Linked DNA regions of Notamacropus eugenii. The protein of the gene in region 1 interacts with the protein of each later gene in a pairwise test. Links are inferred from orthologs where the notes say so. Each region holds a gene or a part of one and is shown on either strand. Other genes may lie near its edges.

What was found.
Region 2: the proteins of LMO1 (region 1) and SOX5 interact in binary tests that used the Homo sapiens proteins (3 or more experiments, as listed by UniProt). The two-hybrid records come from large-scale screens. The link is inferred for Notamacropus eugenii from reciprocal best matches to the Homo sapiens genes LMO1 and SOX5.
Region 3: the proteins of LMO1 (region 1) and PTPN3 interact in binary tests that used the Homo sapiens proteins (3 or more experiments, as listed by UniProt). The two-hybrid records come from large-scale screens. The link is inferred for Notamacropus eugenii from reciprocal best matches to the Homo sapiens genes LMO1 and PTPN3.

The regions. Positions count from the first base shown.
Region 1 is NC_092877.1:37,385,472-37,393,373, forward strand, and holds the start of LMO1 (rhombotin-1), read left to right. Parts: upstream 1-4,843; 5' UTR 4,844-5,379; coding exon 5,380-5,404; intron 5,405-6,499; exon of another isoform or gene 6,500-6,960; intron 6,961-7,054; exon of another isoform or gene 7,055-7,243; intron 7,244-7,902. UniProt on the Homo sapiens protein: May be involved in gene regulation within neural lineage cells potentially by direct DNA binding or by binding to other transcription factors.
Region 2 is NC_092874.1:181,994,880-182,002,776, forward strand, and holds the start of SOX5 (transcription factor SOX-5), read left to right. Parts: upstream 1-4,853; 5' UTR 4,854-4,949; coding exon 4,950-4,987; intron 4,988-7,897.
Region 3 is NC_092874.1:313,227,111-313,234,160, forward strand, and holds the start of PTPN3 (tyrosine-protein phosphatase non-receptor type 3), read left to right. Parts: upstream 1-3,991; 5' UTR 3,992-4,060; coding exon 4,061-4,133; intron 4,134-7,050.

The DNA.
Region 1 (7,902 bases):
AGAGCATTGTGCCTTTAGGATATTGCCCCCTGACTGTGCCCTGCTGGACCTACCAAGCATAGGACTTCTTAATGGGTTATAAGCCGGATGATGTGCTGTCTTTCTTACTTCTGATTAGTAGGGATGCAGGCAGGCACAGTTAGGTAGTTCAAAAATTAAGGACTGTTAAATTCTTTGTTCCTATTCAGGTCTACTGACCTGTAGCTACAAGAGTAGGTGCAGGTCAGCAATGGGAGGGAAACAGGCTAGCTAGGGGAGGACTGACTTATTGGTTCTCTCAGTATTACAGATGTGGTCATTAAACACCAGGTCTTGCAAGTGGTGTGATGGAAAGAGGACTGGTTACACACACACACACACACACACACACACACACACACACACACCTACCTTTCTCAGTCTCCAATGCCACCTAAATGCCAGTTGCTTGAAAGGAAGAGGAGCTGGGGATGATTCCTTAGGGCTGTGTTCTCTTTTGCCCTCAAAGGCAGCTGGGGCTGCCAGCAGAACATCGGTCTTCTTGTTCTAGTCTACTTTCCACACAAGGCTCAGAAAATCTGGGAACATTCTGTATCTATGTGCTTTCACTCTAAGCTAGTTTTAAAAATCCCAATCTACGTAAATTTCCCAAAACTCAGTTTGCAGCATGAGAATTTCTTAGTTTTTATGTTTATGGGGCAAAATGCTTGTGTGTGTATGTGTGTGCACACGTAGCACCTACGTATTTGCCTTGTTCTAGGGGGAGGCAGCTGAAGCCCTCAGTGACTTTACCCCAGTCTATAGTGGGATGTGAGATTTGAGAAAAGGCATTCTCCAGGCCCATGAGAGGCCTCAGGCTCTGAGTGCTCCCTGTGGAACTCTTAGCCATATTGACTATGAGCTCCTAGAGTTATTTAGGCTAAGTCCGATGCTCCCAGACTTACGGGGTGAGATGTGAGGACAGCTCAGAGGTGCTGGCTTCAGGCCATATTAATTTCCATGACAACATTTGGTGCCAGATCATAGGATCCTAATGTTAGAACAGAAAGGAGTATTCAAAGAAACAGGCCCAGAGAAAAGTGACTTTCCCAAGGTCACAAGGCAGCAAGACTTTCAACTAACGCTGATTGTATTTCCTATGTCCTTTCCACTGTACCATACTGTCTATTTGTTCCTGAGTCATATAATCCTGGCATCTGAAGTACTCTACTCTAGCCTCTGCCTCAGTACAGAAGTCTGTCTCACAGCATCTCTGACAATATTCATTGAACATAGGCTTGAACACCTCCATTGACAGGGAGCTTACCACCTAAACCTAAACCTTACCACCTGTCCTAACCTCTTTCTTGCCTTCCTCAGGCCCTAGAGACTAGTTCATCTGCTTCCTACTGCTACCACCAGACATGGGGCAGTTTTCTGTTGGTGTAGCTTCTCTTTTCAGTACTAGATCCACAAGTCAGTTCTCCTATAAGGCACAGGCCCCTCTGGACAGCAATTTAAACATTTGGCTACCTGTGAGTGCTAGGTCATTATTGTTGGAGTGGACACTTCAGGAAAAAACTGCCTTTCCTGACCCAATGTGATATAATTTTTCTGCCTTAATAGGGATTCTGAGACTGTTGAGGCCACTGCATGGTAGGCTGCAGAGAGCCATCCAAGAAGTCTGCAGGATACGTGATGTGACTTGTATGTTGTGAAATCACATTGGACTATATCAGCAATGCAGGCTCATTTTGTGTATCTTGGGGGACACCCAAGGGTCCTCCCTCTAGTGGAACCCGATATGATATCTGAAACATGATTCCAGATCAGCAACACCAAAGCATCCACAGATACACGAATTTGGGGAAGCAAGAATGGGAGCTTTTGTTCTCAGTCACAAGTCTTTCTAGGACCTGAGAGCTTATCTAGCTTAACCCTGTCATCTTACAAAGGAGGAAACTGAGGCTCAGGGGACTAAGGGATTTTACCAAGAATCAAGATTTTAACCTGGGTCTTAACAATAGCAAATTCATTGTTCTTTCTACGGCATCTGGTTGTGTCTGTCCCCCCAGGGTAGACCTTCTCAATGAAGGAGATTGACAATCCAACTTTAGTCCCTCTGTCCTGCAGCCCCAGGGGATGGGCTGGGATGGGCACTGCTGCCAGTCCTCTCTTCCCCTCCTTTCCCCAAATCCCAGCAAGTGGGATTTCAGTTCACACAACTCCTGCCCTGGTAGTGTTTAGATATTTTGTCCAGCTCTCATGGATTAATTATTGGAATTCTAGCTCTTTGACTACTAATTAGGTATCTTGGAGATTAAGGAGGAATATGATGTTGAAAATGAACTTCTTAGGGTGTTGAGCATATGTGGAAAGGTATGAAATAAAAGAAAACAAGCAAAACAAAGAAACTAGAAAACAAAAAATCCTAGCCTAATTCCATGATAGGAGGGAAATTTCTTCTTCAAATAATGTGGACAAGGAAAACGATGGTACTGGAATGATAGCTTTGAGTGAATGTCTGAAGGTTGGGATGTGAAACTTTAGGCTGAATATCTGAAAGAAATAACACTCCACTCAAGATTGGTCACTCAGAGGACCAAAAACTCTGGCCTTGGAAATCATGGATGATTGTTGATATGTCAGGAATGTGCTTTGGGATTGGGGGGGAGGGGGTTCAATGCTGAATATTTTTTGAAAGGATATACTTGAATATGAAATTCCAGGCTCTGGGTTATTGCCATGCCATGATTTTTGTTTGTTTGGGGAGGCATATAAGTAGTGGATGGAAAGTTTTCTTAATTTGTGGCTTGGGAGTCCCTTTAATGGGTGAGAATTAAATACCTTTTGAGGGCAGCTCTCTATCTTTGGGTACATCAGGCACATTGCTCATCTCTTCAAACTGTCACCAAGGAAAGGGAAAGAGTCCTTGCTGAAAGCTATTCTGTGCCAAATGAGCTACTTAGCTTCAGATATATCCAAGGACTCTTTGGATTAAGCATTCAAAACGTAGGGGAAGTGGGAAAGCATCAGAGCTGTGGATAAGGAAGCTAATTAAAAGCAGGTTGTAGAGAGGAATTGCCTGAACTTCCTTTTGTTTTCAAAAGTCTCACCTCCTTGCTTGGACCAAAGAGGGCAGAGCCCCTGAAATGAAGGCAGATGTGGCATGGGGTGGGGTACAGCATGGTCTAGTGAAAAGGCTACTGATCCTAGAGTAAGAATATATGAGTTCAAATGCTGGCATCAACACTAGTTATGTGACCCTGGGCAAGACATTCCCCTCACAGAGCCTCAGCTTCCTTTTCTGTCATATTGATGATAATAATCATTGCATTTCCTGCATCATAGGTTTATCATGAGGAAAAGTACTTTGTTAACCATATTATTCAATGAAGATCTACAGCTCTAGTTTTCCTTTGTTGCTAAAAATCATTTCATCACTTGAATGGTATTTTGTGGTTTACAAAGTGTTTCATATACTATATGTGATAAATTATATGAATCTCACGACAACCTTATGGTGAAATCAGGATAGATATTATCCTTGTTTTGCAGACAAATTGCAGTATTCAAGGTTTCCTTATTCCTATACCTGGGGTCTTTCCACTCATTAAGACAACCTGTTTCTTCAGAAATTTTCAATATCCATCTCTCTGTCAATATGCATTACCAAAAAAAAAAAAAATGCCAGAGTACTTGCAGTATGCTTGGGTCTGCTGTGGGTCTAATCTGTCATTCAGAGCTGGTTTGAACCCAATTTGGGGGCAGACGATGGGGGTAGAGTGGTGTTTTCCCCAAATGTAAGAAGGTAGAGTAGACTTAAACCTTATGCCGAACTTGCATGGCCCAAGAAACCACTTGGGAAGTCAGAATAAGACTCTAGACCAAGTTCTAGAACCATAGTATAGACTAGGAGGACTTGGACCTGTTGTCAGAAAGGTGACCTTCAAAGACCTGGGTTATTCCACTATTCTTTCAGTTTTAGAGATGGGGAGCAGAGAAAAGGGAAAGGTGGTACATGCACTGCCCCAATCACTAATTCCTACTTTCAGAGATTAAGTCAGACACCAAATACCAAAACTTGGCATAATGTGTGTTAGAAAGAGGCCTGGCCCAGAAGCTGTGAGACCTAAGTTTGAATCTTAGTTCATACAACCTGATTTTGTGACCTTGACCAAATCATTCCCCTCTCTAGGTGGAATCCCCTCCCCCTATGAAATGTGAGTTGCACATTCCATTAGGGTTGGAGAGTTGCTGTTTGACTAGAGAGGGAATGAACTCTTGAGGCTGGAAGAAAAGGTGACTTTATGATGATAAACATGCAGCCCTGGAGTGGAGTGGGACAGGAAAGGGGCTGGAGGCTATGTGCCTCTCTTATATAGCTGAGGGTTACAGTGCACCTCTGGTCCTGAAACATCTGCCAAAAGTGATGGGGAGACAGAGAGAGAGGGAGGGAGAGAGAGAGACAGAGAGAGAGATGGAGAGAGAGGAAAAGAGACAGAGAGAGGGAGAGGGGGGGGGGAGAGACAGAGACAGAGAGAGAGAGAAAGAGAGAGAGAGATGGAAAGAGAGATGGAGAGAGAGGAAGAGAGAGACAGAGAGAGAGGGAGAGAGAGCGAGAAAGAGAGAGAGGGAGAGAGAGAGCGAGAAAGGGAGAGAGAGAGAGAGAGAGAGAGAGAGAGAGAGAGAGAGAGAGAGAGAGAGAGAGAGAGAGAGAGAGAGAGAGAGAGAGACCTGTAGGTGGTGCTGGAGAACCAGGCAGCCTTCCACTCCCCATTAAACTCTTGGGGAGGGGGGGTAGTGTGGGAGGAGGGGGGCTGTCTCTGGGAAATGTGCGCATTTATTCAGTAGCAAGAGTGCAGACCTCATAAATTGAGAGAGAAAGGCAGCGGTAGCCAGCCTCCGATATTTCCCCTCCCATCTCTTTGAATATAATTTTAGATTTAGATTCAGATTAAATCTAAGGGGAAAGCACTTTATAAGACAGAGCTGTGTAGTTGCGAGAGCCAGGGTTATGAGCTATCAAATGCAGTTACATTAAGACAGATTATACTGGGCAAATTGAGCCATTTAGAAGGTGAGAATCAAAGAAAAACTCTGAGCCTCTCTTCCCTCCTACTCTCTCCTCTCCCTCTCTAAATTGCAGCCCCTAGTCTCTTGCAATTCTGAGGCACAAAAAAGTAGGTGAGACTGCTTTTGTATCTGCAAAGTGCTTCACTTCTGAATGTAATTCTAGCTGAGTGCAATCTAGGTTAAGAGCTGGACAACCGGGTAATTAGAGCTCACTGGCTGCCAAAGGGCTGTCCGCTGTGCTCTAGCTCATCTCGGTTCCTAGAGCCGAGACCTCTCGTCCCCGGAGCGGAGGCTGCAGCGGCTGGAGACGCAACGCCTGCGCTCGGACACTTCGTGCTGCCGGAGATGATGGTGTTGGACAAGGAGGACGGTAGGTAGGCTGAAGAGGCCACCCTACCCTACTGGGCTCCTTCTTCTCATGCCTCCCCATCCCATCCCGGCACTGTCCCTGCCTCTGCATGGCAGCTCTCCTGGCATGACCGGACAGGGGCCAGCAGGCACGCGAGTGTGCCTCAGTGCCAAGGGCCGACCCGCCGTGTTCGCCCTTCTCCCTGGCCTTAATGAAAAGTAATCTAGCCCAGAAGGCGTCACTCCACGCTCTGTTTGTTGAAGGATGTACAGTAGGAACCATTTCTGCCCGTTTGAATCATCCAGGCTGAGAGCCCAGTGACTCATATTGGTCCGGGCTTTCGAGGGCTTCTTTATATAGTTAGGGTGGGCGGGAGGGTGTGGTGTGGTGCGGTGTGGGGTGTGTGTGTGTGCATGTGGAGTGAGTGTGCATTCCTCTTTTGGAGTCAAAGGGCAGGCACTAAGGGCCCCCTTCGCTGCCCGATTGCCGTGATCATTTTTCCTATTCTGTATTTTGTCTTTGCGGCTTCCCTGCCCACCACAGCCATAAAGCCGGCAGCCTTAACCTAATCTTCTCCCTAAGCAGTGGGAGCAAATTGTCAGCATCCCAGAGCTCTGGGGGGAAGGAAGAAGGAGGGTCGTTCGAAAAGTGCACGGTGTGGAGAAGCAGCCCCGAGGTGTCGAGGGACTGGTCCAAGACTGCTCCCAGACTCACCTCTGAACTTTAGCAGCAGCAGGCATGTAAAGGCACAGAATGCAATCCCAGCACAGAGCTGGGATGAAAGCTTTCCAAACCCAGCAAATAAGTAAGAAAACTGCTCCATTGCCCCTGGAAAGGTCTAGGAGGTGGATTCCCGCCTCCCCGCGCCCCCCCCCCCCCCCATGCTCCATTCTGCAGTCTCTGATTATTGGACTCCTTGGGTATTTGTTCTTGGGCTTTGCTGTCTATTTCTCTGGGCTCTCTTGGAAGGGTAAGTGAAGTTAAGACTGGGAGCTTTGTAATGGCATATAATAATTTCTGTGGTCCCCAAGAGGGGCCTGACTGGTTGGACTCTCCTGGAAATCCCCCCCTCCCCAGACCTTGATCAGATGGGAATCATACAGAGGGTTGGTGGACTTTGGAGCAAAGAGATGGCTGGGTTTATTCAACAGAGTTGAAGCTCATCGGGTCAGAGCCAAAAATGAAACAGAAGAATTATTAGAGATGTGTTGCATAGGGCCCCCTCCACTGGTTAAAGAAATTGCTTGTGTCTGACTGCACAAGAAGGCAGTTGTCAGAGGCATGGATCCCAGCATCTCCCTGGCTAGGTGTGTGTTTGGGGGAGAGAACCGAAGGTACAACAAGAGATCTATGGGAGGAGAAAACAGGGGCAGCAATGTCATGAGTAGTCAAAGCTGGAACTCGAAGGCAAGACCCTCATGTACCCATGGAAGCCAGGTGCAGTGGAACATAGGGGTGCTGATCTGACCACATCCAACCCTTGCCAACACAGCCAGTAAGGTGTTTCCTCCAGAGGCCTTTTCCCAGTTAACAAAAACTGATGAAGAAATCCTTGGAGTGGAGCTGAGACAGGACACCTGCCAACAGAAGTGACTGCTTGAGTGGGAGCCCCCACCCCCAGCCCCCCATTCCCATCTCTTACCGTCTGTGGCTAGGATCCCTTCTTCTTACCCCTCTCCATCAGCTAGCAGACAAGAGAACTCCTCGGCGAGGCAGCCTTTGTAGGCTCAGTTGCAAGATAGGGTGATTTCCATTAAGAGCACTGATTGTGAAGTCCGAAGGCCTGGGTGCAGGTTCTGTTACTTACTATTTGTGTGACCTGGACAGGTTCTTGATCTTTTCAGGCCTCTGTTTCCTCATCTATAAAATACAATGTTGGACTAGGTGAGTTCTTAGATCCCTGCCAGCTCTAAATCCTATGAATTGGGAGGGTTGAGACATCTCAGTCATAACCAATACCATGGCCAAAGTAGTCAGGCCCAGGACAGCTGCATACCTCTCTGTTGGAACACCTACATCATCAGCGTCAGTGATGCCTTTAATATCATTTTACAGATGAGGAAACTGAGTCTGACAGAAGTTAAGTGTCCAGGGTCACACAGCTAGTAAATGTCTGAGACAGCAAACTCAGATATTCCACATCCAAAATTCTATCCACTGTACCTGGTTACAGGGTATCCAGGTGGGCTTCCCCCTGACAGAGGCACAGGCTTCTTCTCACCTTGAGGTAAGGTCCTGGATCCGTGGTGTTCATTGGGTTCTTAGGCCACCTGGCCCTCTCTTGGTCAATCAAGCTGATGAATCCTATGACTTTCTAGAAACTGTGCTGTCCCCCACCCTGAGCTTGAGGCCTGTCTTTCTTGTCCAAACTCACACCCACGCTTATAATAACCACAAGAGAAGTTTTATTCAGCAAGGATGAATTCAAGGATATTCTCCTACCTTGAACATCAATGAAGGACCATACCCTGAGCCGTACCCCTGGGCACTCCCAAGACTTGTGTTCTGCCAGGCAAGTG
Region 2 (7,897 bases), on another chromosome or scaffold:
AATGTAGTATAAATTTACTTTTGAATAGTTTGAACTTCATAGCTACCAAAGTACTTTACAAGTCTGAAATTCTGACTTTGTGATTTGGAGAACTCTAAAGCAAATGTGATAGTTCAGGTATTGTTTTAAAATAGCAATTTATGAAACTAAGATTTCTCTAGAAATTGAGGGAATATTCTCTTTTTTTTATATACATACATATGCATATGTATATATATATGCATATAGTTTATAAAGTATCTTGAATATTTGTCTACTTGTTTGTAGAATGTTTCACCTATTTATTTGAAGAGTGACTTGAACATTATTGATAATATTAAGGAGTATCATTTATAAATAATAATTTATATACCAAATGAGAAATTATTTGGATTATCTAGGACAGTACAGTGTCATTATCCAAGAAAATACTACTAGAACATTTTGATGTTTACAGCCCTTCTAGCAAAATCATTCCAAAATCTAATACAAACACCAATTTGCTTTCCAAGGACTCAAATGGCAAAAATTGTCTCATGCTAGTTTGGAGTAGAATGTTAGCATTATTCTGTATACCTACTGCACGCAGTATTGTATATAAGCACCAATGTAAGCATCTGATTTTAAAATGCACTATGCGTGAATAAGGTGAAAACTCCTTAAAAGGGACCCAGCACCATCTTGGGGATCTCATTTAATACTAATTAATTCTGTGCTTAAAAAAAAAACAAAACATGGCTCAAAATTAAAAGAGAAATGAATAAAAGATTTGACTCCAAGTACTAACATAGCCACTAAGGTGCTGATTGGCTTTGGATAGTCACCTGAAAAATATTTGTCCTTGTTGTAGGCATGGCTCTAGAACCAGCACCCTCTTAATTCAGGTTCAGTGTTGGGACAAAATGAGGTACTCACAAGGCACTGAACGTTTAATAAAGGAGGAAGCTTACTTGGTTTGTCTAGCATAGCAAGGCTGTGCCAAAAGGATACAGGGGTACTGAGCTTCTCTGGACACAGCCCTCATCATCTCCATTTGGAAATGTGTTTAGTCAGTGGCCGATTGGAACAGAATCTCACATGGTGTCAGCACCAAGCAAGCCTGAGATGTACCAGTGACGTGAGGCTGGCACCTTTAATGCCCCCAGATCAGGAAGCTGTGTGAGGAAACTGTTATTCCTTTCATAGTCTCCAACTTCCCTGATCTTCAAATTAAGGGTAAGAACACTTACCTTTACATACCTTCTATTGCCACATAAGATAGCAGATATGAAACTGAGAACCTTAGAAACTGCTATATAAATGTGAAATGCTATCACGATTATGTTGAGAGGCAAGACAGCTTAGTGGATAGTGAGGTGATCATGGAACCAGGAAGACCTAAATTCAAGTCCTATCTCTGATATATATGACCCTTGCCTAGTCAAGTCACTTAACCTCTGTTTTCTAAGTAATTTTCTAAGATTTTAATGTGTAAAATATGCTCGCCTGTATTGATAGAAGGAGGTTTCTCATCTGGGATTTCCCTTTATTAATGAAATTGTAGGTCCAATTCTTATCCTAAAATGTCAATTATACAGGGGTTTCTTTTAAGCATACTTATATTCCAGGCCCATCTTAAGACCCTGAGTATGATAAGAAGTAAATCCCTTGCTAGGCAATGTTTATAATAATAGTTTAGGGACTTAACAATGTTTTAGACACCTAACACTCATTCATAGAATTCCTCACATTTATCTTTGGTATGTTAAACAAATAAAATTGGCTGGTGTTTTATTGAATATGAAAACTTAGGACACCAGAGATACTGAGAGACATCAGGCCTTTAAAACACAGTTTGCATCAGACTCATAAGAACTTTTAATTTTTACCTATCCTGCTGACCTTTTAGATTAGAGTTGCAGATGCAGCCAGAGGTGGTAGCTGTAGTAAGACAGAACAAGCTGGGGCCATACACAACTAAGCAGCTTGCCTTTTGGTTATTATCTCTGTTTCTATCTTTATACTGCACTATGTCTCCTTGCTCTCCCCCTTATTTCTTTCCTCCTCCTTCCCCTTCCTGACTTGCTCCTCCTGCTCACTGTAACCTATACCCCCTTTTATTTGCTTTGTTCTACTAATATTAAAAAATGAAACAAGATTCCCAAATTAGCAAATTTATACAACCTTATTTTTAAAGAAAATTATTTATGTAACCCACACCCCTAATTCGTTATATTTTGCTTCCTGCTCCCAAAAGGAGATCATTTTGTTGAAGTTTTGAGTTTCTCTAAGCTTTTTAAAAGTGAAGACTGTCTTTTAGCCTTATTCTGAACAAGATGAATATAGATTCTTAAAACTAATAAATCAAAATAGCTTAAACTCTTTATTGCTATAAGATTATCTTTCCAGAAGAGTTTGTTTCATTTAAAAAAAGATTTGAGACTAATTGCTAAAAAGAATACTGTTATAGTAACAATCACCACCATCCTTTTCTCTTCCTTTAACTAACCCCACCAGAAAAACATATAATCATCAATTTTTGTCACATCTCAGGTTAACTGCTTTGCCAAAGTAGATGATAATTCTGTATTTTTTGTTATTAGTACTTTAACTATATAACAGCATGTTTAAATCCAATTTAATTTTGGTTAGCTATCACAAACAGGGGTATATATGCATCTATATGCATGCATATACACACACACATATATATGCATGCTTTTTGCAAGATTTATTTAAGAGGAAAATTAAAAGATAAAGTATGATTAGTGTATCCTACTATATTTATTACTACCAAACCTTTCAATGATTTTTTATGATATCAATGGCTTGTAGAAGGTGGAATTAAAATATAAATTCATCCGTATAAAAAGGCTAAAAATTGATAGCTGCTATTTTAGAGGGTATGTGAATGTGCGTGTGTCATTGTGTATGTCTAAAAAAGTAAACTTGCTGTCTGCCTGTCGCCAGGAAAAAAAAAAGTGGGACCTAATCAAACCACTGTGGGGTCAACCCTTGTGGTTTTAAAGGCCCTTAATGTTGTCCAGCTGCAAAATAAAAGGAATTGGGAGGGGAAGTTGGAAGGAGTGGGGGGTGGGGGGGCTGTTGGAAAAGAACAGGGAGTCTGGCTTTTATTTTTTTTAAAGTGAGTTCAGTGCCAGCCTGGACATTGGCTGTGCAGACTATTGAGCCATTGTCTGCTCCATTTCCAGAATAGCCCCCAGTTAATCACTTCGGCTTTGAAGGGAATTTCCTCGTGGAATTCTCCACAGAAAATCTAATCAACTGACCTGCCCTCTCAACAATGGAAGGCTTTTTTTTTCTCTCTTTCCCTTATTGGGGCGGACTCTGTAATGTAGCCTTTTGTGCAGAATGAACCCTCCCAGTAGGAGTGGAGGGAGAGAGAGAGGAAGGGAGGGAAAGAAGGAGAGAGAGAGAGAGAGAGAGAGAGAGAGAGAGAGAGAGAGAGAGAGAGAGAGAGAGAGAGAGAGAGAGAGAGAGAGAATGAGAATGCACAGTCTTGTGTTTGTGAGGGTGTGCTTACTCTGACCAGATGCTGCAGTGCACGGGGATAGTCACCATCTCTCTGTGTGTGTGAGTGTGTGAGTGTGTGTGTGTGTGTGTGTGTGTGTGTGTGTGTAGTGTGTGTGTGTGTGTGTGTGTGTGTTATGTGCCCCTGTCATTTCGTGTCAAAGGTACATTACCTGATTACCTTCCTCATCTGCCAGATTTTTATCTAGATAATTGGAACTGCTATGGAGGCTGTTCTCTGCCAGCCAGCTTAGAATCTGTAAAACCATAGTTTGTCCACCTTGTTATCTGTGGCTGCCTGGGCAGAGGAAATTAAAGAGATCCACAGCTAAGGAACTTAGCCTTGTTCCCTGCTCTCAACCACCTCCTCCCCCAGCAACCCAAAAGCCGAACAGATCCAAAGTTATTATTCTTTGGAGGTCCAGGGGGTGATTTTTGTTTCCTTCACGTGTGTTATTTGGGGATGTGGACACCTATTCCCCTGCACACAGCAGTGATGTTTTATGGAGTTTGGAGCTGAGGAAACTTTGGCTGTGTTGCCAGGACATTCGCACCACTTTGTGGAAAGCAAGAGCTAACAGGGAGACGGACAGAGTGAGTGACAAGTTGTTTACAGGTTTCCTTGAAGGGGCCTCTGCTATATTTCAATCTGTCAAAGTTGCTTTTCTTCCCTCAGAACAATGCCTGATTGTTGTGTGTGTATGTGTGTGTGAGAGTGTGTGTGAGTGTGTGCTTCCGTGTGCGGGCGAAGAGAAAGCCAAGAAGGGGGGATAAGAAGTGCATGTGTAAAAAATACTATTGCTAACATTTCCATTTTTTTCTTTAATTAGTTAACAACTGCAGTTTAAACGGGGGGCTGGTATTATAGATTCTCTTTTAATCCACCGCTAATACATTTTTCTTGATTAATATTATTTGTGTATGCATTTTATTCATGGGGGAGAGTGTGTATGGGGGATGTTAAATGAGTTGACTTCTCACATTCTCTGATGACTGGATGATAGAATTAAAAGGAAAGGACAGGCACCCTGAGGTTGTCTAGTGCCTAGCAGCCGCAGCGTGCTGCTCAGCTGTGGGGGAAGCTTTCTAAACACTCTGTGCCGCTAAGTGTGCTACCCCTTTAAGAGACTGGTCAAGGAGTCCTAGTTCACAGAGAGGGAGAGGGAGAGGGAGAGGGAGGGAGAGGGGGAGAGAGAGAGGAAGAGAGAGAGAGGAGAGAGGAAGAAAAAAGGGAGAGAGGGGAGAGAGAGAGAGAGAGAGAGAGAGAGAGAGAGAGAGAGAGAGAGAGAGAGAGAGAGAGAGAGATTGAGGGAGGGAGGGAGGGAGAGGGGGGAAGAAGAGAGGAGAGGAGAGGAGAGGAGAGAATCAATTGGTTTAGAGGGTTTGGACTCACTTGACAGGTTCAGTTGGAGACGATCATAGGTGGCTGCTGTGACAAAGGGAAATTGTGCTTTTCCAGCATGCTAACTGACCCTGATTTACCTCAGGAGTTTGAAAGGTGAGTTGAGTTGTTTTGTTTTGGATGTTATTTTTTTTAAAAAAATATGAAAGTATAACTCTCCCATTTTACAGGCTTAGAATCAGTTGTGAGATGCTCTTTAAAAATCATGCTTGCCGGAGAAGCTTTTATGAATCTATATGTTAACTGAATCTTGTTGTTTTCTGAACCAAATTGAAGGAATTTGCAAAGTCCCTAAGCTTGGTCTTGATGATTTTAGGTTTGGTCCTATAACAGAGATTTTAATGAACATTAAGCATCCTACCCCTCTCATCTCTTCCTTTCTTCCTCTAAATCTTTTTTCATGCAAAGCACCCACATTTTCAGCATCTCCGTCTAAGATGTAATTTCTGGGATGACAGAGGAATTTGAGGATGATTAGAACTGAGGCTTTAAGTTCCTGCAAAACTTTGGAAGTAGCTCCATAAAGCACATGACCTTTTGTTGATATAAGGGAACAGGGTGTGCATTTTTTTTAAACTCAAGTTAACATCACAACAATCCATCAGAAGGTCCTTTTTTTTTAAGTGTCAAAAAAGTTAAACACTGATGATTCCTAACTTTTAGTGGACACTTTTTGCACTGGCTGTCGAAAGCTCAATTTTGATTTATGATGTTTCCTTCTTTTGCCAAGACAGGAGCATGTGTATTTGGAATTAAGTTGTTACTATTGAGAAATTATTTTTAGCTGCTTTAGTTTTGTATTATTTCAAGTTGAGTTGGGCTTTCAAAGACGTTAGTCCTCTTCGTGTGCTTCTTAATATATACTGTAATTTTTTTTTTAAAAAATTCTTTATTCTTACTCTACCACAAGTTCAATTTTTGGGGAAAACTATAAATAGGATCTTGTTTGCCATTTAAAATAATTCAAACTTTGCATTCTCTTTGGTGATTTTTTTTTAATCTAAAAAAAGACAGGATGCATGATACATAGGCTATATTTTTTTTCATTTTCATGAAAGCTACCTTCTGTATAAACATTTGTTGTATCTGACTATGCAATGCAAGCTAGGTGCTAGACCAGCTGGTTAAAAATATGCTAAGTCAAGCTGTTCATCGCTCAAATGACTGAATTTGATATGAAAAGGCGAAAAAAGAAAGACAAAGATTAAAACATTTTAAGATTGCAGTAAATCAGTGAGCAATGGGAGATGAAAAAAGAGTACTGAGAGTAAAATACATCTTGAATGTGGTTATATATTAGGGTGCAGAATCTGAAATTACGAAGAAAATTAAAAGAACACAAAATATACTTTAGCAGTGGTTTCTTTTTTTCTTCCCACTGAGGGATTTATTGATCAGATATCCTCATTTAAATGGCTGAACTTCTTTAATGGCTTTATTGAAGGGTTCTAATATTTTTTCACTTGAATTTAGTAACTCCTCAAAATGTTAACATTTTACTTGGGAAGAATGCTTTTTTAAACAGAGACAGATTTGTTAATTATCATAGAAATTATTAGTGTTTGAAGTAGCAAATACTTTCTTAATTCAACAGAGTAACAGCTCTCTATGTGGTACAGAGTAAGAGTTAAACTATAATATTCTTTAACTGTAACTGCATGTTATGAAGATGATACTGGCAATCTGATTTGTAAGTCAGTTAAATGATTCTTATAAAAGGTAGTTACATATTAAAAGGTTATATTCTATGTTTATGTGTAGGCAAGCTTTACCACTGTCAGCTTTATTTGTATTTTCTTCAATTATCTCCTTTTGAGTTAATTAAAAACTCCTAACTGCAACCCCCAAATTCTAAAGCTAGAATCTCTTAACATTTTACTCCTGGCTCATGTTTCCTTTTTGCCATCACTCAGGGGCATGCACTTCTCACTGACTGGTTAAATAAGCAAATGGTAATCAATAGTGTTGGTATTATTGCTGACAGATTTGAAAATATTAACAACTCAAATATTTTTGAAAGACATCCCATGATGTAAGAGGTCTTAATTAGAATTGGTAATATAACCCCAAATCTTGATAGCTCATTACCATCTGTTTACATTATTAATATACAGGTAAATGTATCTGTAATAACCTAGATGTAGTGCATATCATGTAGCAATGACGATCTGCAGTTATAAACGGAAAACTCAGAGGATGTATACATAATATGTCTACACTACCACATGTGTTCAGCTGGGATTTTTTTCTGTTTTTTAAACTACTTGTGACTGTTTCCATACAAATTACTTATAGTTCACACAAATACCTGCCATAGGAGATTTTCAAAAATCAATAATCACCCATAAACCTATAAAAGAAGCCTTCTAAAATAACTTGTTAAATAGATCACTGAAGTGAACAAAGTTTCTTGCTTTTAGTTTTTTTTTCCATTAGAAATAGAACTTATGTCATCTTAGACTGTTTCCACTGAGAGATTTCTGACTATTTTTCATTGTTCTCTAAATCTCCATATTGTTTTGAAACTTTACAGAATAGTTAGAACCTGTGCAATTAAAAGTTAAATGTGGAGATGACAACTGTTTGATTTGGATCGGTATACGACTGTGATAACAGCTCTAGAGGTGAAAATGGTCAGGACTGTCATTTAAACAATTGTTAATTCATTCAAAATTGGTAGCAATTGCAGAGACTGTTAAAAATTGTCCTTCAGGATTTATTAAAAATTTACCAAACTGGACAGTGTTTTCTGAAAAGTAAAGTGAATTCCAACCTTTAGTTTTTATTTGCAAGTATTCACCTTCCTAACTAAAATGATAATGTAGACTCCACATGGGGATGAGAGTCAGGGAAGCATTTCTAAAGAATTCTTGGAAATATTATTGGCAATTAGGACCTATTATGTCTTACTTCTTAGAGTCAGTATAATTGACAGCATGCACTATATGTTAATAGCTATCACATTAAATGCATACTAGAACTCTCACAATATAAATCCTTTGTAGA
Region 3 (7,050 bases), on another chromosome or scaffold:
AAGCATGAGTCAAGACAATCACCACCATGATGTCATTGGTCCTCTTTGGAAACGGACAAACAATAATGGTTATTGTATAGTATTATACATTTGTTTATGTCCTATTCCTGTTGCTAGATTGGACTCTCCATGAGGGGAGAGACTGTCTTAAATATCTTTGTATATTCTTCTTCCCTTTTCTCTCCAGGAGACTGGGAGACTATAGTTGTATAAAATTGCATGTACTAGAGAAACAGTTGTTGCATTGGTTGGTTTTGCTGGGGGAAAATACATATGTAATTAAAAAAATCTTTGTATAGGATCATAGCCTTTAAAAGTGGAAGGGTCTCCAGCCCTCTCCTTTCATAGATGAGGAAGTTCATCCAAGACGTGAAGTGATTTACCCAAGGTAGCCAAGATTAGAAGAAGGATTTGAACCTATCTGACTCCAAATATCTTTTTTATCCCACTGTTCTTCACTGTTCTCTTGGTGCTCCAAGAAACTCTCTAAGATTGTAAGGTACAGAGCAAATGCCCATCTGCATCCTTAAGGAGGGAGTTTCCTCACTGGGAGTTCTCTATACCAATATAATCCTAGGTCACATACAAAGAAAAAAGAAGAGGTGTTATTGCATGGATGAATTCATGCTTCTCTACCATTCCTCATTTTGTTTTGCTATCTCTAATATTCTCCCTATCCTACTGTATGTTCATATTAATCTTATTCATTAGGTCTAGTTCCAGGTTTGCCCTCATGTGGTCCTTTGTGGTCCCCTGATCTTCTGCAGTTATTAGAACTCTCTTCCCCTTCACTGTGTATATACTTTTCCATGTATCTTAGTTTTGTTTTGTTCAGAGATAAGTTCTTTTAGTTAGAAACTCTGCTATATACTTCTTTTGTATACAGTGTCACAGAACCAAGCTCACATTCAGTCTAAGTGAATTGAGTTACAGAGTTTCTTGGAAACAAGTTTGTTGTTGTAGTTCTAGATGTAGTAATCTTTTTTATTTAATAATTTATTTTGCTGTAATCTCAGTCATTAGTTTTTGACATTATTATTTGCAGTTTACCAATCTGTGCATTTGGTTTAGTTGAGCATTAAATATGCAGTCGAGTTGTACAGTCTAGTATGTATACAGCTATTATGCAAAATGTATTTGAAAGTCTAATAAAGAACTGAAAAAATTGAAAAGGAAAAAGATTGTTAATGACTGGGAAGATCAGGACAACCTTCATGGAAGGAATGGCATTGGACAGTTGAAAAGGGTCTCTGTTCTTGGTATAGTAAATGGTACAAAGGAAAGCCCAATCCAGAGGATCAGAGAAATCTACAATGTGGCTACATGTTAGGGTATTTGTAGTCAAGTAGCATGAGATAAAGCTAGAAAGACAGGGGGTCCTAGATTGTAGATAGCCTTGATACATAGGTAGAGAAGTATGAAGTAGGGAGCCTCTGAAGATTTTTGATCAGATGAGTAATATGATTAGAATTATGTACAAAGGCAACTAATTGGGCAGTAATATAAAGGGTCATAGTCTGGACGGGGAAGAGAAAGGAGAAGAGAATTCATGTTGATTGATTATTTCAGTTATCCTGCTAGGTGATGGGAGCCTGTATTTGGGAGGTGAGGAGTTGGATATGAAAAATGTTACTGAGGAAGAATCAGTAGGACTTGGTAACTAATTCAACATAAGAATCTCTTGGAGACTTAGTGAATGTTAGTGCTGTGGATGGAAGTAGTAAAGATGGAAGAGTAGATTTAGTAAGAAAGTTGAACTTGGTTTTGGACACATTGATTTGGAAAGGCTACTGTGATATTCAATTGGAAGAGTTCCATAGACAATTGGGGATATAGATAAGAAGAGATGAGATGTGGGAGTCATCTGTGTCCATCAGTGCTCTCCATAATGGAGACTGTAGATTGATCCCTACTTAGGCAATGGCTTGATCCCAAGAGATGTGTAATCCTCCAATTGGAGGAGAAGATGAATGGCATCCCACCTGCCTTTCAGTGTTCAATCATGGGATCTCTCCAACAGAACCACACTTACCCTTACCCCCAACACTACCCTGCTCTGCCTCTTCTTTCTGCTGTGCATGCTTCCATCTTCACCCTTTCTGAGGCTAGTTTTGGCTCTTCAGGACAGTTATAACTTAATCTTCAACATAGGCACCCATAGTAGCACCTGGCTAAGTGCTATTGGAAAAATCAACTACTTCCCCAAAAGGAAACCCACCTTCTTCCCCCCAGATTACCTTGTGACTGTGACAGTCTCCGTATTCCTAGGCAGTGACCCTTGAATGAAATCCTTGCCGTTCTCTTTTTCATTTTGAGTCTTTTGCACAGAACAGGTGGGCATAGGTGTGTAGTGATCTTCATCATAGATCTCAATACGTTATCTTCCTTCCCTTCCACCTGAAGCCCACCCATTATTTTCAAGAACACTGCCATGTTTCCAGTTGCCCAATTGCACAACATCAATGTCATCTACTCTTCATGTTCCTTTACTTCACACATACAGTCACTTGTCTAATCTTGTTTCTCTCACCACGTGTCTCAGGCTGATTCTTTTCTCTACTCACACAGCCTAGTTCTGGCCCCGTCATCTTGTCTAATCTATTATGAATTTGCTAATTGGACTTCCTGCCTCTCCTCTCTGCATTCATAGAACCTATAGCTGTCAAAGTGATTTTCCTAAATTGAAGGTGTGATCATTTCACTACCCTACTCAATAAACTCTAGTGGATCTTGCCCACTTTAACTTTACAAATATTTCATCTTTATCGCATCCTTTCTATTTGTTTTTGTGTATGTAAATTTTATAATGCATAAAATTGAGTACAGTAGTGTCATATAATTTACAAATAAGTAAATATACATACGTTGTTGTGTGCTTGACCACTAGCCAAAAAGTTTTGGAGACCACTGGTACAGATAGATGAAGAGTACTGAATTCCTTTGCCAAAGGACAAAGCATAGAAGAGAGAGCTAAAGGGAGAATCTTAGAGAATACCTACTTTTGGGGCCAGAAAGAGGAAAAACAGCCTAGGAAGGAGAGAGAAAAGAAACTAGTTTGAGCTTGTGTGCTTGAAGTGTTGAAAGAGAAAGTATTCCAAACGACAGGGTCATTAACAGTGTTGTATGTTATAGACAGGTCAAGAAGTGGTAAGGGATGGTAATACTTACTGAATTTGGCCAGTGGGAGGTCATTGGTGACCATTCAGAGAAGTTTCATTAGAAATGTAAATGTATAAACTAGATTTCAAGGGAGTGAGGAAGTTGAGACCATTTTAGATACTGTATTCTCCCCACTCCCCACCAAAATAATATGTACTATAGGGTAAGGGAGAAATGGAACAGTAATGATTGGAACAAACTTTTTTTTTTTTAGGATTAGGGAGACCAGAATATTTTTCTAGGTAGATTGTTAAGGAATCAATAAAGAGGAGAGATTGAGGATGTGTGGGAAAGAGGGACATACAAAGTGATTGTTTAAGTAAAGGCCTTGATCATGTGGTAGGAGGTACGGATAGAGGGAATACCCTTAATGAAGGGTATTAACACATCCTCTGACTAGAGGGAAGGAAGAGAGAGCCAGAGATGATGCTGAGTAGTTACGTAATGACCAGAAGACTCTGGAGGCTGGGGAGCTCACAATTGCTGGCCTCAATCTTTTCAGTAAAGTAAGTGGGAGATTGTCATCTGCTAAGAGTACTAGAAATATGGGTGGGGTTGCACTTAAGGAATGAGGAAAAGGTTTAAAAAGACATAGGGAGTCAAAAGGAGAGTAGGATTGTTGAGCAATGAGAGCCCAGCTGTTTTATAACAAATTTTTAATGGGTGACATCACCTCAGTGTCATGGCTTCCTTTAGCATTACTCAGCAGGCTAGGAACAAGAGCAGGGAAATTGGATTGAGAAGCCTTACCAAGCATGGGGATTAGCAGAAATGAAAGACCCAAATTTCTCGGAGTGGGGAGTAAGGGGTAGGGGTTAGGGAACGATTTGGCAACTTATTGTCTTAGAGAATTGCTTGTAGCTCTAAAAAGTTAAAGAGATGAAAAGCTGGTTTCATTTTAATGAGAGTGGGAGAGGGAGAAGAACAGAAGATTGCAATCAGAGAGAGGAATTTTGAAGGTCAAGGTCTCCAAGGTGGGTTGTGTACAGTACAGTGAGATGGCAAATGATAAATTCTTCAGACTTCAGTTGAAAAAAATTAGTTGAACAGGTTGAGGAATTATGTGTTCAGAATGCCTCAACATGAATAGTAATGATGAGTACTGGGAGTTAGGTGGAAAAAGAAACAGGGATCAAGGTGCTAAAATCATTGAAAAGGTTGAAAGAAGTACCTGGAGGTAGGTCAGTTTCATATCAAGCATCTTAGGTTTAAAGCTAGAAGAGACTTTTGAGATCCAACCATTTTATAGATTTTATAAATGATTTTATAGATATTTTATTTTATATTTCTATATTATATTATATTATTTATTTAATTTTATATTTATATTTTATAGATGAAAAAATGAGACCTTGTAAAATGACTTTCTCAAGGTCACATAAGTAGCAAATAGCAAACTGGGATTTGAACCCACAACTTGGGACCCCAGATTCAGTCTTCTTTCTACTGTGTTAATCTGAGAAGGTGGTGTTTATAGATTACATAGACTTTGAAGGGACAAAAATACTTTTTTGGGGGTGGAGGTGAAGAATTGAATATCTTCATTGTACCTCTCTCATTTCTTCTGTTTCTCATCTTTTCTGTACTATCACGTATTGTGCCTTCACCAGGGCCCAAGAATATATAAAAATGCAAATTAATCTATCTGACTAGCTAATGTACTCTTAAGAATCACAAGTTGTAATTGTTTGTGAGATGACAAACTAATGAGGTTTCTAGAATGGACAGAGTAGGGGCACAGCACCTTCTGGATCTGGAAAATCTGTAGAAAAAATCTTGGCCCTCTCTTTGTACTAGAGAAGTATGAATTTTTTTCTTTTTTTAATAGGGTATTTATAATGCCTTATTGTAAAGTTTGAGTTAAATATTTAAGCATAGACTCTGTGTCATCTGCTGGCCTTTGTGTGTCCTCTGCAGCTTCTACAAAACTCTACAAAAGTTCCCATTTAATTTCTTATACCATCCCATGATGTATTGAAACCACGGTGGGGAAAGTCGCGGTGTGGAAGGGATGACCATGTACCTTATGCTTTTGTGTTGCCCTCCTCACCATAGTGAATGATTACTATAGACAAGAGCTTACTCTAGTGTTGTCTAATTGATCATATTTCATGTTCGCTGTCTTCTTCAGTGTCCTTCAGAAAAGATTATTTTTTATTATGACTAAATTCTTCTATTCATGTTAGTTTGTATGAATGTGCATGCTCTTAAAAGAGAACCTGACATACTTCAAAGCATTTTAAGCAAATTAAATAAAAATATTTCCATTGGAAAAGGTTTTATCCTCCATAGTTAATGTATATTCTTTCAGGCATTACATTGTAGAGATATATTTAAGAACTAAATGAATGGTAATTAGCCATGTTTATCTACATTAAAAAGAAAAGAACACTTGTATTTGTGTAGGTGAAGGGAAGTACTCAGTGAAACTCCTTTGGTGAGAAATTCTCTTGAGTTTTCATTAGACCTGGAAAGGACCTCAGATAAATTTTGATCCAGTCCTCTCAAGAGGCCAAGTGACTGGACCAAGGTCATATGGATGGTATGTAAGTGCCAGAACCAGAATTTGAATCCAAGTCTTCTGATTATTAAATCCAGAGCTCTTTCCATTACACTGTGGTTTTTTTAGAAATAGGAAATGTGACTTAATGAAGAACTTATAGATGAACTAATTTATTATATAGATGATTATATATTTTTGATTCATATGGTAGATTTGACTTTCTTTTTTGTACAACATACAGACATGCAAACATTTGATTTTATAACTGGAGGAAAGGAAATTATGTTGTAGTGCTATTTAATAGGGGAGAGTTGTAAAAATCTGATTTCATTATTTAAATTTAGATGTTATGGCATGTTTGTATTTTAATATGCTTAAGATAAGACTAAAGAAAGGACTGTCCTTCTAATTATCCACGAAATATATTTTTCCACATAACTTGCCCTGCTCATCTTCTCTTATTACCAGTATAAAGGTACATGCGAATGAGAATTGTGAGATACTGTTACCTTATAACATTTTATGTTTTCAAGCCTTTATATAGATGTATTCACTCCCTAATCATTCTGAAACTACCATTTAGATATGTTGCTACCGAGTAGAAGTAGGTTACCTCTACCACATGACTCTGGGGCAGGCTTGCACAACTTTCGGTTTGCCAGAAGTGGTCCCATATATTTAAATTTACCTTGTTTGAAGTTCTAATTCTGTAAAATATGGTCCTTGGTTCCAGCCCAATGAAAATATGCCATGTTGAATTACTTGGACAAATGGGGACCTAGCTGTAATGTGAGGATCAATGAAGCAGTACTCCAGAAGGTGAAGAGACAAATGGGACTCAGGAAGACAAATACTCGTGAGCAGAGCAAGGCAGAGGTTTGGTTTAAGTTCTAGGAATGTAGTCAGAAACTAGGAAATCTCCCTATGAGAGTTAACAGTAGTGATCTAAGTTTCTTCAGGGCAGAGACTTGGGTGGTGGTAGTTATTTTTTGATCTTTGTATCCCAAGCACACAGAACGATACTTTGCACACAGTAGGCATTTAATGAATATTCATCGAATTGAATGGATGGCAAGAGGGCCATTAGGAATTGGGGAAACAAAAAAGAGTAGAAAAGATAGAATGTGTACATAGCACAGGAAAGGACATGGAAGGCAAGCACCTTGCTAAAACGAAGGCATTTTGTAGACCAACCTTATTACTGGTCATTCAAGGACCCAGGAGGCTGGCAACGCTTTTCTGCCACAGAACATTTTTGCCCTGCTTTGGTTGTTTGAGTTGTTTGAGTTTGAGTTTGAGAATTCTAAATTTAAAATTGAAAAGAACGTTAGAAGCCTTCAAGTTTATCTCTACCACCATTTTACAGATGAGGAAATAAGCACGTATCA